Linked DNA regions of Lytechinus pictus. The protein of the gene in region 1 purifies or fractionates together with the protein of each later gene. This does not show direct contact. Links are inferred from orthologs where the notes say so. Each region holds a gene or a part of one and is shown on either strand. Other genes may lie near its edges. The genes, in order: condensin complex subunit 1-like and condensin complex subunit 2-like.

Region 1 (9,819 bases):
CGGAATTAGCGTTCCAATTTATGTCAATTTTTGAGAGGCAAATCCTTTTGGAACTTGCAAAGTTAAGGGAGTTGTGATAAATTAATGATCAACCGTGACCAGTTTAAGTTGTTTAAGCAAATTTCATAAATTATTAAATTGAACTTTAATGTATGAGTGAACGCAAATTGCACTTTTTGGGCAGCATTTCAATTTTATCATGTGGATCCCAGCAATGTGTTCATGGGAGTCGGGAGAATAGGGGGTGAGAAAGGACTTAAGTGGGAGAAGTAGGTTGATGGAATAAGGATCAACAGAACATTTAGCCCCCTCCCCTCCTGTTGGGAGACTGATTGCTATTGTCATGTACGCGTGAATTCCACAGCAGAATGTTGATTTAATGATGAATTCTGAATTTGGGCATCAACCTTTTCCTATCAATCATTAAATCAACAATTTATCAGTAAATTAGCTCATTCAAAGTGCAATGTGATCAATAAAACATTCAGATTTTTTCAATAAACTGTTTCATAAATCATCATAATCGATAAATTTCTTGGCAATCATTCTATGAAAAAAAAAACTGACCATCAGCCACCGGACATTTGGCAGTTAAGTTTTGAATAGGCTACAATCCAGGAAGTGAAACAGAGAGAGGGGGGCTGGGAAATGGGGGTGGAGGGGGAGGGTATATGACTTTTAATTTGTAAAAGGACAGAAAGAAGAGGAATGCCCCTTTAACCAAGTCTTACAATATCTCGCCCCCTAACTTGTAACAAGTACCATCACATTACTCTGACTCTCACGAACACACTGCTGAGGTCCACAAGATGAATATGCTACACTAAGTAACTCATGAAATTTGCCTATAAGAAACCAAAACTTATCTCACTCATTAATTTAGCATAACACCCTTGGCTTTGCCAGTTCCAAAGGACTAACCACTCAAAGAATTGTAAGGCTAATCCATGCCCAGCCTAGCCGAGCTTAGTCTCTCAGGAGGAGAGTAGTGGGGGAGGGGTTGCTAAATGTTCTGTTGACCTTTATCCCATCAACGTACTTCATCTATTTGAGTCCTATCTTACCCCATATTCTCCTGACTCTCATGAACACATTGCTGAGATCCACATAATAAAGTCAAAATGCTGTACTAAAAATTGCAATTCATGATCACTCATGCATTAAATTTCAATTTAATAACGCATGAAATTTGTCAAAGAACAAACTGATCACAACTGATCATTAATTCATCACAAAACCCTCAACTTTGCAAGTACCAAACAAAAAAACCTGAAAGAAATCGGAAGGCTAATGCCGGCCCAGCCTAATTTTCATACTCTTTGTTTCAGTGGGCAGTGCTCGCTCAAGCATGAATAGTTTTCCAACTTTTTGGTGTCATTTGAAAGTTGACTTTATTGGCTTCTATGTAATATAAGTCTTTTCCCCCAAAGTGATATATTTTTTATTTGGCAGTCATTTCAAAAGTGTATAGTTTTTTGGGGACGCACTGTATATATTATATGTGTGTGTGGGTGTGCGAGGGTGTGTGTGTGCCTGGAAATTCTTGTAGAATTAAATGTGTCAATTCTGTTATTCTTTTTATTAAATATGCAATTTTTGATTCAAGAGCTGAAGGCCGGGTACCGTCATTTATTAAAATACACAAATATATAACGGGTTGTATAGAAGAAGAAAGACGCCTGGCAACGAAGTCAGGCAAGTTAAGTTTACATTTGCAGAAATGGGATGAACTGAAGGTGAAAAGGGATTTGAATGTGAACAGGTGGGATGTGTCTAGTGTGGTGCGAGTGTGAATCCTGGTGTGAATGTTGATGTTTTTTTTTTTCTTTTTACTAGTTCTTTTCAATTTCCCCTTCTCTTGTATCAATATGATTTGCAGGTTTTTTTTTCTTTCTGTATCCTATTGCGCCAAAATGTTAAACGTTCATTATGCAGATTTGTATATATTATGTTTGTTTACGTATGCGTGGTATGTGCATGTGTGTAAGGGTGTTAAGGTGGGTGTGTGTATAATTATGTAAAGTTATGTTGAAGCTTGATTTAAAATGGGATGCAATGATAATACATTTAGGTTGATTTCTGTTTTCCTGCAAATCATTTATATAGCCATTTAACATTAATTATTATTGAGATACATAGAGGGTTGGGGACTCAGTTGAGTTTTTTTTTTTTTTCAGATATAAAAGTATAATTTTAAGGAGTTTCATTCCGTCTTTATTTGCTTCAGTTCTTGGTAAATATATATGTACTTTTTTGCATATCCTTGTTGATATGAAATGAAGATTTGTATTTTTTTTTTGTATTTATCTGCAGTTTATGTAATTCATTTGAATGAAATCCTTAATAAAAACATATTGAAAAAAAAAAAGTGAGTGTATATATATTGGCCTATATATACTTGATTAGGCATTTACATGTACAAATTACAATTCACAAGGTTTTTTTTCTAAGCTTACCGTTTTTCTCTTCATTCCTGGACATATTGTATATCGTTTATCTGCTGAAAAATAAATAAATTGAACAATTTCCCCCAGAAAAATTTGACAAAGCAAAAATAAAAAATTCACACACGCATGCATTTTTTTTCATATGCCAGATGCCCCCTCCCCTTCCCCGGCACTACCTGTATTTGCATGATGACCATAATCCCTGTCTGTATTAGCATGGGCGTAAATCCCATAGGGGGCTGCCAGCACTGGGGGTGGTATACCGGTCCCGCCCCCACACCTTTTAAGACAGTATAACGATAGTTTCTAATTATATTGTTGGATTCATCTTTAAAATGCAGTAAAAAAAAAAATAGCTTCAATTTGCCTAATTTTGAATTCTAAAAACGCAAAATTTCTCTTTATCATCTTACAAGAGTTAGGCCATCATGATAACAAATCCTTATGTTTAGCTCATTTTATTGCAAAGGTTTTTTCCGCTATCATGGCAGTATGGTTATATGAATCCATTTATGAATTGAATAATTCAAATGACTTTTAAATATAATGGTTACAATTTTTATCATAAACCCCGGGGGCCACTGCCATTGACGAGTGGGTACCATGCGCGACCATGGGGTCTCGAAAAGCACCCTAAACACGTATTTTCCATATTCTGAAAATGCACCCCTTAAGACGTATTGGCGTGTGAAACCCTCCCCTTAACAAGTATTGGAAACAAAACAATACTCTTGGCAAGTATTCCCTGAATTGACCCCCCAATTAAGTACAACGATATTTTTATTGTTGTCGTCGGTTTTACCTTTACCTGATTGTGTAGGCCCTATAGTACAGCCCCATCTCCCACATCTCGCGCAAAATCGTACTCTACTAACACGTAGTGTTGACTCTTCTGGCAAAAAAGTACATCCTTTATAAAACATATTAGTCTTAAATTTTTACACCCTCGCAAATTCGACCCTAAACACGTAGCTTTCCTAGCGAAAATAGATACCCTTAGTGTTTTTGACACTCTTATTACGTTACTTACGTAACGTGCCCTATCTTGAAAAAGACATCTCTTTTACGGTGTTTTTTTTTGGTCGCGCATGGTATCCATGCACTCATCAATGTAAGTGGCCCTCCGGGCATAAACCAAAACCAAATAAAACGTTTCTTAAATACACTTGAAGGGGTGGGGGGTCATATCCTGACATCATTGTGGAAGCGGGGATAGTCTGTACAAAATATACCCTATATTTCAAGTTTTTTGTTAGATGAGACACGCATGACATATTGATCACTATAATAATGAAACACTAGGGCTTCATGTTGTTACGACAGCATATCATCCTAAGAATTGTATTTGTTCTTCATAGGATACTTTTAATTGCATTAATTGATAATTGACGCAACAATCTATGTCAAATGTGAATTTTGCTCCAAATTTGAACGTTGCATCATCCCCCAATATAATTTTCAATATTATTCAAAATTTTTCCTTTCTGCGATATTTTCGTTGTCATTTGCATCATTGCCATTTCCGCATTTTTTGAAGTTTATCGGATGAGTTGCCATGAGATTCATTTCATAAGGCATTATAATCGTTATATTCGCGATAATCATGATCCTATTTTTTTATATTCTCAACTCACTAATTTTAACTAGTGAGCAAATGAGTTTTCATTGAATAAATCTCGACTGTTTGATCATTATTTTTATAATATAACAACTTTATATCTATTCTACCTTTCGTTTTTGAAAAATTACCCCTGCTATATATCCTCTGCACATTGTCAATTAAAACGACTGAAGCAATTTTTTTAAGGCACTCGATCACGTTTGCTCGTCGCAATTTTCCCTTGAAAGACGTTTTTCAATCATCCTGACTTCATTCCAACTACTATTTACTGTAATTAAGTATATATCGATCACAACAACAGTAGCCATTGTCATAATTGAAATAGCTCAAGGTAACTGTCACCAATAGAGATGGTAATACTATGTACAAGGACATAGCTCTTGATGTGGTATAATTATTGCACACTTGAAAGACGTTTTTGGACCCCGGGTTTTGGACACCATTCTGTCTTCCAAGTACTAAAAATTTGCTCGCTCACTCGCATATCAATATAAACTGCATTAGATAATTTATATCACAAAAAAACTCAAATATACTAGCCATCGAAAAAACAATCATGATAATGATGGTATTGTACGTTATAATTTATATACCCCCGTGTTTTGGGTGTCCCCAAAATGTTGAAATTTCAGGTCAATATATTGCAATCATTCCACCCATGCTCGGACTGTATAGTGACAAAACTGACTACTAGTATATGCTAGTAAACAATTACTGTACTGTAAAGTAACTTTATAGTACAGTAATTGTTTACTTGCATTGTAATTCTCGAGTTTTGTGAACGACTTTTACCGAAATAAATTTTTGCTGATTGTGCGATACCATAGTTCACAAATCGAGCGTTCTGATTGGTCAGTTCTCGTTCATTTTTTTACAATACAATTTTTCCGCGGATTTTGAAGCCGTTGATGCGGAATCCTTCGCCTACGGGAACAACATTTTGCCGTTTTCATTCGTGTTGGTTCGTATTTTTGTTCACCTTTTCATCATATGTATTCTGTCTTAAACTTTAATTTCAAATGTGAATGACTGGTTTTGATGGAAAGTAGCTTTATTTCTGATCGTTTCTTCTACAGCCCGGCTTTGAATTTGACCGAGTTAATGTTGGCTTGATTGGGAGGGCTACGCAGCCTCGAAGGCCAGCCGCGCCCCGAGCGAGGCGGCGAGGCAAGGTTGGGGGTATGAAGGTGGGCCCCGCCATGGCCCATGTCTGCGCACCTAATTATTTAACCTCAGATTTAATATAGATTTCAATTTACTTCACAAAACTTTTTAGTTGATAATGTTCCTTATATTCTTATGAGTAAGTGTGCAAAAAATCTCATAAAAATTTGAAAAAAACAAGATTTTCTTAAGTTAATGATTTATCATGGGAAACAAAACTCAAATTTCAAAAGTTAACTTAAAGTTAAAACCAGGCCGAGGCCCGAGCCAGTCATTCACTTTTTTTTGGTTTCAGATTGAACAAAAAATTGTGCCCCATGATGTCTGTGCACAATAAAGTCTTTACACACGATTCAGCTCAGGGATTTTGATGAGAAAGGCTGCATATCAGTAGAGACTAGAGGCGCAAGGCAATATGGGAGACTCCAATAGAGGAGACAATTTCCCACATTGGAGACTTGCTTTGCAAAAGGACAAAAGAAACACCAACAAAAACATGATTTTTTCCACCCAAAATTTTGTCTCGCTGAGGTCAGAAGCCCATTTGTTTTGTGTGTGATTGACAACAAATATCCTTATCAAAACAAAAGTAGACGGTGAATTTTTAAAGTAGACGGTGAAAAGGGGTAATTTTTCATGAGGAATCTGCTTATCACATTTTTATTTGCCGCCAAGGTAATCCTTTTGCAGCAAATGTAAACAAAGGAAATTGATCTCCAAAACTGGAGACTGTGTCTGAAATTGGATACCCAAATTCTTTACAAAAGTCTCTGATATTGGAGATAATCTCCCACATTGGAGACAGTCTCCAATATTGGCCATGCGCCTCTACTGCATATTGAGGCTGTCGGCGTCACATGAAATGCTGAAAATTTCTGGAAATGGCTAAACTTAAGAATTCATTTTTTTCCACCACTGAGTCAGGTTTTTTAATGAATACCTTTCTTTCTAAATTCTATGAATTGCATCTGTAATTGTAAAGTTTGTGGCGAGCTATGGTGGTTGTTGCATATCTTCTTTTAGAATCGCGCAGATACACGTGTGCGCAGACACGGCCAGGGGGACCTTACCATACATGTAGGATACGTAGGCCAGCTTGATTGGCGATGTAGAAAGTTCTAGACTTAAAAATCTGCTGTTTCGCAGGAGTTTTTATACATTTTCTGATTTCTTTTTAGTCGTCCTGCTACACAGACTGGAAGTATCCCATAGGACTCATAGTGCTGGGGTGGTATTCTGAGATAAGCTTGTAACCGATTTTGCAATCGGCAACCGATTCCATTCGATTTCACCACAATCGGCAATCACTTGCCGATCTTCGATCATGCCCCTTGAAGGAAAAAATCGAAAATAAAAAATTGGCGTAGATCTGGTTACAGTGCGTGATCGCTCAGAACATATTTCAAGATTGTTTTTGAGGTGCTAGCTATTTGGAGGTCGCATTATTCAGGGAGAAAGACGCGGTATTATCTATGGCGATGTTTAAGAGGATAAATATCTTCTCTTCCAACTCATGGTGATAGCGGATGCCGCCGTGAACTTTGAAAGGTCGTATTACCGACGGAGCTCACTGCGCTACTCTCTTACCCCCTTTATAATGATATAAATCTTCTCTTCAACCTCGTGGTGATAGCGGACCCCGCCATAAACTTTTAAAGACTGTACTATTGACGGAGCTTATTACGTTACTCTCTTACATCGTTTATGATGATATACATTTTATTTTCAACCTCGTGGTGATAGCGGACCCCGCCGTGAACTTTTAAAGGTCGTATTACCGACGGAGCTCACTGCGCTACTCTCTAACCCCGTTTATAATGATATAAATCTTCTCTTCAACCTCGTGGTGATAGCGGACCCGGCCATAAACTTTTAAAGACTGTACTATTGACGGAGCTTATTGCGTTACTCTCTTACATCGTTTATGATGATATACATTTTATTTTCAACCTCGTGGTGATAGCGGACCCCGCCGTGAACTTTGAAAGGTCGTATTACCGACGGAGCTCACTGCGCTACTCTCTAACCCCGTTTATGATGATATACATTTTATTTTCAACCTCGTGGTGATAGCGGACCCCGCCATAAACTTTTAAAGACTGTACTATTGACGGAGCTTATTGCGTTACTCTCTTACATCGTTTATGATGATATACATTTTATTTTCAACCTCGTGGTGATAGCGGACCCCGCCGTGAACTTTTAAAGGTCGTATTACCGACGGAGCTCACTGCGCTACTCTCTAACCCCGTTTATAATGATATAAATCTTCTCTTCAACCTCGTGGTGATAGCGGACCCGGCCATAAACTTTTAAAGACTGTACTATTGACGGAGCTTATTGCGTTACTCTCTTACATCGTTTATGATGATATACATTTTATTTTCAACCTCGTGGTGATAGCGGACCCCGCCGTGAACTTTGAAAGGTCGTATTACCGACGGAGCTCACTGCGCTACTCTCTAACCCCGTTTATGATGATATACATTTTATTTTCAACCTCGTGGTGATAGCGGACCCCGCCATAAACTTTTAAAGACTGTACTATTGACGGAGCTTATTGCGTTACTCTCTTACATCGTTTATGATGATATACATTTTATTTTCAACCTCGTGGTGATAGCGGATGCCGCCGTGAACTTTGAAAGGTCGTATTACCGACGGAGCTCACTGCGTTACTCTCTTACATTGTTTATGATGATATACATTTTATTTTCAACCTCGTGGTGATAGCGGATGCCGCCGTGAACTTTGAAAGGTCGTATTACCGACGGAGCTCGCTGCGCTATTCTCTTACCCCCTTTATAATGATATAAATCTTCTCTTCAACCTCGTGGTGATAGCGGACCCCGCCATAAACTTTTAAAGACTGTACTATTGACGGAGCTTATTGCGTTACTCTCTTACATCGTTTATGATGATATACATTTTATTTTTAATCTCGTGGTGATAGCGGATGCCGCCTTGAACTTTGAAAGGTCGTATTACCGACGGAGCTCACTGCGCTACTCTCTTACCCCCTTTTTTGATGATAGACATCTTCTCTTCAACCTCGTGGTGATAGCGGACCCCGCCGTGAACTTCAAATTGATTTGAAAACGCTAGCTACCCAAAACATTTTAATAACATATTTCAAATCATCGTGCGTGCTTGCGTCTTCTACTTCATTTTAATTGCACTTGCGACTTTAAGATGATGCGTCGTAAGAGATCATTCCAATAATTCTAAATCGCTAGCACCTAAAAATACTTCTAAAAGATGTCTCGCCGATCGTTCATTAACCTGTGATCTATGAGAAATATTTTCATTTTATTTTCCTTTGCGCCTTTGCTCGGAAGATGCGTCTTTTGTTTATCTTTCTAATAAAAATCACTCGGTTTATTTTAAAGCAATAACACCTCAAAACCCCTGGCTTTAAAACATGTTCCAAACGATCGCGCATGTTGGCGACTTCCATTCCAATGCATTCGTCTTTGTGACTTTGTCAGGAAGATGCGCGCGACCGCGAACAACATTTTGATGTCATTATTCCTTTGTTTTTAAACATCGCCGATTCGATTTTCGATTCGATTTCGATTTTAGAAGCTTAACTGCCGATCCGATTTTCGGTCTGATTTTTGATCCGATTTACAACATTATTCTGAGATCCATTTTATCTCAGATAAAATAAAATATTTTATCTCCGTTAAAATCAGTGAGATAAAATCTCTCCGAATTGGTATTCTGAGAACAATTCTATCTTCATTTTATCTCTGTAAGACACACCTATTTTTTAATCAATATCCAATTAGAAACGCGCTTTTATAGCTCTTTTATATCATTCAACCAACGGAAATCCATTCCGCTAGGAGGTGTGACGAAGGAGTGAGATTGCGTCAATTTATTGACTTCAATACGCTTGCACTACCGGTATACGCTTGCGCGTCTTTACAGAGATTTCTTTTTAACAAAAATGGCAATACTCTCATCCTTTTTTCGAAGTCTATATCGCATCTTTTCAAGCATCATTTCAAAGACAATATTAGTCAAGAAAAGTCTTCTGAAATGCTTCCTGATCTTACAGGAATAACTTTAAGGTGTTGTTCTCAATGAATATATAATTTTTCTTAATTTTTATGCCAACATTTGGAGTTAATTCACCTAGAAATATTGACGAAATCAACGTCGCGGAGATGAAATAGCCCCTACCCTCTTTTGAGTTTATTTTATTTTTTCTTCAAAGTAACTTGGGCGCAAGCACATCACCCGCGTTGCAATGGCCAGATACGTGATGGGTATGTCTACGCAGCCACTGCTCTGTTGCGTATCATCATAGATACGCAAGATAACATTTATACGCAAGATAAAATTTTAAATTTTATCTGAGAGATAAAATGTCTGTCATCTCAGAATACCAATTTCATTTTAAGAGATAAAATAAAATATTTTAAAGATAAAATGACCTCAGAATACCGCCCCTGGGGGCTGTTTCATAAAGCTGTTCGTAAGTTAAGAGCGACTTTAAGAACGACTGGTGATCCTTTCTTACGCGCTAAACCATCGCCAATTCAATATACCATTTACCAAAAGAAAGGGTCACCAGTCGTT
Region 2 (9,615 bases), on another chromosome or scaffold:
TGGTAGGCCTTTTTGTCATGAATCTGTGTAACTGATACGAACGCTTAACAATTCAATTACCTTTATGACTTATATCATTATTTTGTATGAATAATTTTAAGTCTTTTTTAAAAAGTGTCATTTAAATAACTTTCAGTCAAATATGTACGAAGGATATTTGTTCAACTTCATAACATTTGCAGGTACCTATATTGTATGATAAAATAAATTACCTCAGAATTGTACAAATTCAGAACTTTCTTTTTCTTTTACATTGTCTTTAGACACGAATACAGATCTTTCTAGATTAATTTAGCAAATGGGCTATAACACTAAATAGTAAACACGCAAAGCTCACGTCAACCAAGTATCAAACATTCAAACTTGGATTAATTCATGGAGGTTCTACCTCCATGATTTAATCTGAATAGGTCTGTATTAGGTCCATGAATCAACTCAGATATCGTTCAAGCATCAAAATCAATCTATCATCACAACACTAAAATCATAAACAATCACTTCGAAGAAACAATGCGAAGGTCAAACCAGGGAAGTGTTATACTTCCCTGGTATATGCTAGCTACCGTGTATATATATACACACACACACATACACACACACACAAACGCAAAAAAGCCGCGAAATAGCTCCAGAAATTGTAGCCCTGGAAAGTGGAAAAAGAGCCCTGGAAAATGAAAAAGTAGCCCTGGAAAATTTTTAAGTTTCTCCAAAAAGAGCCCTGGAAAGAAAAAAAGTAATGTTTTGGTTGTTTCAGAGTTATGATGGTAATTCAACAGATACCCCCAATTTGGCCAAAGTTCATTGACCCTAAATGACCTTTGACCTTGGTCATGTGACGTGAAACTCATGCAGGATGTTCAGTGATACTTGATTAACCTTATGTATAAGTTTCATGAACTAGGTCCATATATTTTCTAAGTTATGACATTTCAAAAACTTAACCTTAGGTTAAGATTTTGATGTTGATTCCCCCAACATGGTCTAAGTTCATTGACCCTAAATGACCTTTGACCTTGGTCATGTGACATTAAACTCAGGCAGGATGTTCAGTAATACTTGATTAACCTTACGGCCAAGTTTCATGAACTAGGTCCATATACTTTCTAAGTTATGCTGTCATTTCAAAAACTTAACCTCAGGTTAAGATTTGGTGTTGACGCCGCCGCCGCCGCCGTCGGAAAAGCGGCGCCTATAGTCTCACTCTGCTATGCAGGTGAGACAAAAAACTAGCATATCAATGATGTGGAGCTCATCCGGCATCTCGCAACGAAATTTAAAGGAGAATGAAACTCTTGGAGCAAGTTAGCTTTTGTGAAAGCAGAAAAATCAAAGAATAAGATCAACAAAAGTTTGAGTAAAATAGGACTAGCAATAGAAGAGTTATGAGCATTTGAACGTCGAGATCACTAAATGCTATGGAGATCCTCCCATTGACAATGCGACCAAGATCTATGATGGCACAGATGAACAACTCTCCCCTTTTGGACACTGAAAATATACCCCAAAACATCTCTTTTTGCTCATTCTAATCATATGACAAACGATTCATCAATGATATAATGTTGTGAAACCTCTGTACTTGTCCTCTCATAAAGAGAACACCTCACCTTGTGATAGACTCTATAAAAATGAGAATATAAGTGAAATAAGTACTAAAGTAATGAGGGAGTTGTACGTGTGTGACATCACAGATCTTGGTCGTATTGCCAATGGGAGGATCTACATGGCATTAGTGATCTCAATATTCAAATGCTCATAACTTTCTTATTATTCATTCAATCTTGCTCAAACTTTCAACAATATGTTTCTTTGATTTTTCTCTTTGATATGGATTCAGCTGGTTTCAAGGGTTTTATTCTCCTTTAACACAATTTTAATTTCAGCCCAGTTGACACTGTAGTGAATTACATTGGTGACATAAATTGAGGATATAGAATTGAAATTGATGAAGAAATGACATAGAAGCATTTTTTTGTGATCTATGAATAAATTTCATATAAATTAAGCATAAATAATTTTCTAGTCAAAATTTCTTAACTCTGTGTAGAACCTTGGTGAACCTCATGTAGCTCTCAGATGGAACAAAAATGAAGAAGTGGAATTTTCTGTGATTTATGAATACATTTTGCATAAATTGGTATGAATAATTTTCTACTGAAAATTTCAAAATTCTAAAAATCAAAATCGGTCGATAATTAAAGAAGCATTTTATTAGAATTTTTTGAAAAATACGCATAAATTAGCATATTTTATGAGTTTCAAAATTCTGTGTAGAAGTTTTAAATCCCCCACCTAATGCTATCATATAAAGCAAACATAATTGAAATCAGACTTTAAATGATGAACAAGAAGCGTTTTGAAATTCAGTCAACAAATAAAGAAGAGGCATTTTCTGTGATTTATGAATTTTGCATAAATTAGCATAAATAATTTTCTACTCCAAATTTAAAAATTCTGTGAAGAAGTTTAGTGAACCTCATGAAGCTCTACCAGATGGAAGAAAAAAATCAAAATCGGTCAAAAAATAAAGAAGAAGAAGCATTTTATGTGAATTTTAAAAAATATGCATGAGTTAATTTCGCATAAATTAGCATAATTTTCTACTCCAAATTTAAAAATTCTGTGTAGAAGTTTAGTGAACCTCATGAAGCTCTACCAGATGGAAGCAAAAAAATCAAAATCGGTCAAAAAATAAAGAAGCATTTTTTGTGAATTTTGAAAAATGCATATAAATTAGCATATTTAATGAGTTTTATATAAAGCAAACAGAATTGAAATGGCGAAGGAGCATTTTGAAATTGTGGACGGACGACAGACGACACGCCACAAAATTGCAAAAACATGAAAAAAAGGCAAAAATCTCAGATTATCTCGGTCATTTCTCTCTCTAGTCTAAGTCGATCTAACTTAGAAAGTCAAAAAGGGGCCTAAGCTTTCGATCCTAGCAGAATCTTCGTCGGAGGCAAAATGACCATTGATCTAACTTAGACTTAGCTTAGGCCTAGTCTAATTTACATTTTTTTTACAACTCTTGTTTGAGTGAAAAATTTACTCCAAACATCCAGTCTTGATCGTTTCAAGAAATTTTTAGATTGTTTCCTCTGCCTCTGTTCTGCACTGCCGGTGTAAAAAATATTTCCTGCAACGGTAAAGGTTGCAGAATTCCAAGTCAACCCATCAGGATTTTTGACTGCAATGATGCAATCATGCCTTCATGATTCATGGACATGGGCCATGGCAATTGAATTATGTTAAACTTATGTACCGTAAGGGCACTAGTATTCAACCCGTTTGGAGAGTTTCCTCAAATATATAGAAATATAGAATTTACCTGAATTTCAGACCCGTCTTATTTCCAAGAGCAAATGCTGGTTATTCTTTTTCCGTTATTTTTTTCTTCAACCAGTTGACTGTGTGCGCGGGCGATCGAATTATACGGCGACGGATTTTGGTACTAGTATTCAACCCGTCGGTACTAGTATTCAACCTAGCGATGAAAGATGGCCCTGTCTCTCAATCTGCCCTTGTCCCATCCGACTATGGACTAGACCATTTGAGATGAGACCAAACAGGGAATTAATCAAAGCCAGAGTCTTACATAGATCTAGATCTAATTTAGCAATCTAAACCCTTTTGAGATTTGCTATCAATCCTCACTAGGTTGAATACTAGTACCATTCAGTGCAAAAGGCCATCGCCGCATAATTCGACCCTCCGCGCATACAGTCGACAGATTGACAAAGAAAATATCGACAACAGATTACCCTGGAAATAACAAAGGTGTGAAATTAAGATAAATTCCCCATTTCTAAATATTTTGGGGAATATGTCAAAATCTTTGAATTATGCCGGGTTGAATACTAGTACCCATACGGTATTTTGTCATTTTTATTTAATTTTGTTTTTTTTAGCACGCCTCAGGCCTCAATTGTTTAAAAATTGCTCTCAAACAACATTAAAATAAAAAACTTCATAATTATTTGTGATATAATATATGATGCATGTATGTCAAGAAAACCCAGAGCATGATGATTTTAATTTATGTTTTTTTTTGTCCGAACAGTCTTCGTATTAAATAACATTAACAGTCACAGAATTTAATAGGTGGGACTGATGTAAGATTCCAGTAGGCCTAGATCTAGAAGAAACTGCAACTTGTTACGTTTACTATTCTACGCCTATAATAACAATTTCGGGCGCACCTTCTAACCAATTACAAATTTAGGCCTAGTACATAGCTAAAAAAAACTCACCTTAATAAAATGTTCAATAGACTTATAAGGACAAATACTTGCGGCTTGTTTACAAACAACTTTTGCGAATATTGAAAATGGCGCTGAAGACATTTGAGTAGGTGCGCATGCGCAGCCGATAATCTTGGCTCCATGCGCTCTCTCGCGCCGCTCGCTCGATCGCTTGCTGTAGCTAGCTAGCTCGCGCTCGTTCGAATCGCCCCCCCCCCCCCCGGGCGGGGAAGCAGGTGAAGGGGGGGGGGGGGCTTTATTAAGAATTCTTGGCAGTGAGCGGTCGACAATCATTCGCAGGCTTATCTAGAGTAAAATTGCGCTGATTAAAAATACACTTGTCCGAGTCCTAATTATTGACCCCCGGCCCCGCTCGCACTTTCAGTGCCTAGGCCCTATTTGAAATAAAATTCATTTTTTAAATCCCATTTCATACCCATATTTTGAAAAAATGGGGCAGGAGCAAGGAAGTCCAGGCCTAATTCGGAAAAAGGGAAAGATACGGGGAAGGTTGAGGGAAAAGGGAAGGAAAGGAAATTAGAAGAAAAAACGGGAGAAAACACATTGCAGTAAATGGAAAATAAAGACTGACAGGAAAGACAAATTATGACTTGGATTGGGGGCGAAAAAATTTTTTGTATAGGTCTTTCCACTATGAAATAACCATTTAGCTATTAAAGCTCCACCAAAATTTATTTCAGGACATGGCGGATGACAGGGGAGCTAGAGGGGGAGGGGGGGGGGGGTGATAGATGAACCGCCAATTTAAAGGCTGGGGTCCGGTTTCTAAAATACTCCTTTTTTGTTTGTCAAAGTTTTTGTAATATAGTTATAGGCCTATTTTTCTTCTTTTCTGGCACTTAACGATGAAAAAAAAATTATCCTTGAATATGGAAATTGTACAACATAATGCTTAATATAAATAATTAACGCGCCTATAGTTCACAGATTTTTTATCTATTCATTTATTTGACCATCGCCAATCACAATATCTTGATCATCCCTCCACTGACTATACCCTCAATAAAGTATATTTTTAAAACCATTAAGATGTTTTGCCTCAATTTATTGAATAAAGGACGGTATAGTTAGTAGTTAAAGTTACGTTGCAAGACATTAAAGACAGGCGCGCCGGAACACTTTAAGATTTGAGGGGGCAAAATCTTGAAGGTCGGAGCACAATTTTTGTGACGTTGTGAGATCCTCGGCGAGAAAGCAAAGCGATCGAGCGGGTGGAGGGCACGAGAAGGGGATACAAAAGGCAAATAGGAGGGACGGAACATTATTTTTCATTCACATTTCCCCCAATTGACTGCTAAAAGCTGATTTTTTTTTGTGTTTGAAGGCCTTTTTTTTTTGGGGGGGGGGCAGTCCTATGTATATAAAGACTGTAGGCCCGTATTTCCAAGTCAGGTTTAATTTAGACCAAGGTCCAACTCTACCGATGTGCTAAAATTATGGGAGTCAAAAATTATCTTTATATTATGAATTTCTTATGTTTAATATTTTGTTTCATTTTGCATTCATTACAAAGGAAAATAATTCCGTTGCCATTCTCAGGCAATTGTGAACAATTGGGGTGTCGAATGAGTAAATATATATTTATATTAAACCACAACTTTAAACCAGGGATTGATTTAAACTCGAGTTCAAAATACGGGCCATGGTGTTTTAACTACACCTTATAGCCTTATGAAGAATGTGAGCGCGTGATCTCAAATAATAATAATAATAAATAATAAAAGGGGGCACGTGCCCCCTGTGCCCCCCTGGATCCGCGCCTGACTACTACTACTACTACTATACTAATAATAATAATAATAATTATAATAATGATAATGCGGCGCCGCGAGTTGAATTTTTGGTTAATAGATCGAGACCTTGAGACCTAAAAACAAAGAAATTCTAAGCACATATAAGCAATGTAAAACCAAGAGAAGTATCCTACTAATCAAACCTTGCGATAGCAAACATAGCGCTTCATTTATGAAGAACACCATCCACATATACTCGGGCGCGAAGTGCAAGTTGTAGATTTTTGATATTCAGACATGTAAATTAACATTTTAAAGACTATTTTTAGGACTGAACATATTTATCTAATTAAATCATTAAAGGGATGGTCCGGCCGGGCTGAAAATATTTATATCTGAATAAATGGAGTAAAATTCACAAAGCAAAATGCTAAAAATTTTATCAAAATCGGATAACAATTATAACGATTTAAGTTATTGAATTTTAAAATTTATCACTATTTTGTGAAAACAGTTATATGATGGGCTTATGATGTCACATTCCTTTTTATTTTGTAATTACATGAAATCATAAATGTTTCATTTTTTCATACATGTGTAAATGATGTGTCTGCATTATGATGAAATAAGTTGCGGCAATAAATAACTAATGCACTTAATCAGTTGTCAATCCAATTGTTTGAGTTCTTGGTAGAAAAATTTGAATAAATCTAATTTTATATAATAAAATACAAAAGAACAAGTGGGGGATATGACATCATCAGCCCACCTAATGAATATTTATAAAGACATGCCTAGAATAGTTTCACCGGAATAATTCAAATATTTAAAATTCAATAACTTTGTTATTTGTTATCCGATTTTGATCAAATTTTCAGCATTCTGCTGAAGGTGCCGTGGCCGAGTGGTCTAAGGCGCCTGGCTATACATAAAAAAAGTCCCGGTTTCGATCCCCGGCCGCGGCACATCGATGCCTGTGAGCAAGGCATTTAATGTGCAATGCTCTCTTATCCTGCTTTCAAATAAATGGAAATGCTATAGGCATTATTGGTAACTTGGTGTGCACTTGTTTAAAAAAAAAGAAAAATTCTGCTCTGTGAATTTTACTCTTTTTATTGAGATAGAAATATCTCCAGCCTGGAAAAACTGAAGGCGAGAGTGCGCGAAGCGGGAGTCAGTTGAAATGTATTTTATATTTAGACATAAAATCGGTACATTTTAAGCACTTTTAGTAATCATGAAAATGACGTATAATATCTCAAATTAAAGCGTGTGGAGATATATTTTGACTTGAAAAGCGAAAAAATATCAGAAGCCACTGCAGGGCCCATGGGCCAGCATGATCGGGAACCGCTTTCACTACTCATTCAGTGGTCTGAAACGGCTAGCTGCCATCAAAACACTAATTTTACAAAAATAAGTAAACTTGCTAATGCATGTTGTCGCCCCATTAAAAGAATTTCTTTTACTTATGAAATTGACAGTTTAAGGCAACAATTAAAGGTGCCTTCATTGTTTAATTTGTCTTTGAATAATGACCTTCTTTTAACTTTTGAGAGTGAAAAGGATTATGGGGGCAATAACGTATTTTTTTTCCAATTCATTTTTCTATTAGTGATACCATAGATTTGGCAAAATTGCGACGTGACATGTGCGAGCCGACGTGATTGCCACGGATTCTGTACTTTTGAGTTTTGTAGATAAATTCATGAATTGGTGCTTTGTCAGACAAAATGCAACACGACGACGTAAGTTTTTTTTTAATAAAATTCAATGAAACGCTTTTAAATGTAACTGGAATAGTCTACTTATAACTTGACGATGCACAATATTAGATGTATTTATATTTCCGCGCAGCGACTGGCCTGGGCTGGGCCGGGTGTCGGATTTAATCATCAGTCCCAGGCATTTAATTTTCTGTTAGCACCTGCAGTTTTAGACAGCTGGCAGCCGTCTGTTTCGAGGAGTTTTTAAACATTTTTTTATTTTTTTTATTTCTCCTCGTACACAGACGGCTCGCTAGCGTGCAGCCACCATTAGGGGACTTGCAATGCAAAATCCCCCCGTCGGGGCTCTTCAATTTTTGTCTTTAATGAATAAAATTTTTGAAAATTAACGCGACCAAAATGCAAATTAATATTCCCTCTTGGCATTAATTGCCAAAAAACAGAGAAAAATCAAGTTAAAAGTAGGGACAACGGTATATTCGGTATTTGCTCTATCAAAATCCCTACATACCATTGCGAGTGCGTCGAGCGCGTCCGTTGATCCTACGAAGCCCCAATAATGCATCCCTCTTGACTGATAATTTCACCCTAAATTGAGTTATTTCAGGTAGCTATGATATATTTGGCATTAAAAGGATCGGTAATTATTTGTCAGTAATTATTTAGTATTCTATATTTTCGAATGGCTTACCTCTACTTGTTCTTTGAATGGGAAAATATCGTACTTTGTCCTTGTATTCCACATGAACTGCAGAGTTTGTATGTGTATAAAGTCAATGGGGAAATTCAAAGTTTTGCACACGCGACCCGTCACCATGACGTCACCAGGATTGCGTGTGAGCGAGCTAAGTTTGATTTGGGGGCGGCGCCCTCCAAAATTTGACCAATAAAAATTCTGCATTTGCTGCATCTTTTGGGATTTTCCCTAAATTCATGTCTCAGGGACCGTCTTGGAAGTGCGTGCTGAGCTGTATAATATTTTTGAAGGACCCACCCTATTCTACTTAAAGATATTCAATTAAAACATCTTGGGGCCCGTTTTGGGACTTTTCATTCTTAAAAAAGATGGTTTTGAGACGAAGTCTTATATCTAGATTAATTTAAGAAAAAAAAATTAGTGAATTTATTTTTAAATTTTAAAATGCAAAGCAAAAACCTCCATATGACGTGTACGTGACGTAATTATCGTCATGAAGTTGAAGATCGCGCGAAGTGGTGGGAGGGGCCTATCGCGAACGTAGACCATGTATTAGTCTTGATTCAGGCAATTTTTATGATTTGTAAAGTTCGTTGAAACTCTGTAACGTTGTGAACGGATATCATCCAAATAAAATAAATGAAAATAATTTTAAAATGTGAAAGGATGAAGGCTAGCACAATCTTTCTCTTAGGAACATTCAGCCCCCCCCCCCCTCCTCAGTTACAAATGTTAATCACGTGTAATCGCCGTGATACAAGGAGAGATGTTTTGGAAGGTCATGTGCGTGTGAGATATTGCACATGGCATAATGGCGGCATATACGTGTGATACAGGGAATTATGTACAAGGATGTTTACACTTGTGTGTGAGAAGGTCTGTGACCGAGATGGTGGCATGGGAATAATGGAGTTAGAGTGGATTAAAAAACTACGTGTGTAAAGCATGGACCTGTACGTTGCAACTGTACATTCGCTCTGGGGGCTAAATCCCGGGGCTAAATTAAAATAGGGGAATCCCCGGTGTGTATAGCTTGATTAGTAATCAATTGTTAAGGCCTACTCAAGTATATTTTGTTTATTAAAAAATCTAAGAAATCAATGTTTTAATTTGCAATGTTTACGCACAATATATGTATATATGCCCTCTCACAATCACACACATTTAAGATTTTATTTTTAACAGTAACATAC

What was found.
Region 2: the proteins of condensin complex subunit 1-like (region 1) and condensin complex subunit 2-like purify together in Drosophila melanogaster (affinity purification with western blotting; 5 studies listed by BioGRID, with this or other methods). This does not show direct contact. The link is inferred for Lytechinus pictus from reciprocal best matches to the Drosophila melanogaster genes Cap-D2 and barr.

Annotation. Positions count from the first base shown.
Region 1 is NC_087258.1:13,121,950-13,131,768, reverse strand, and holds the start of condensin complex subunit 1-like, read left to right. Parts: upstream 1-4,922; 5' UTR 4,923-5,029; intron 5,030-9,819.
Region 2 is NC_087256.1:27,810,773-27,820,387, forward strand, and holds the start of condensin complex subunit 2-like, read right to left. Parts: upstream 4,361-9,615; 5' UTR 4,254-4,360; intron 1-4,253.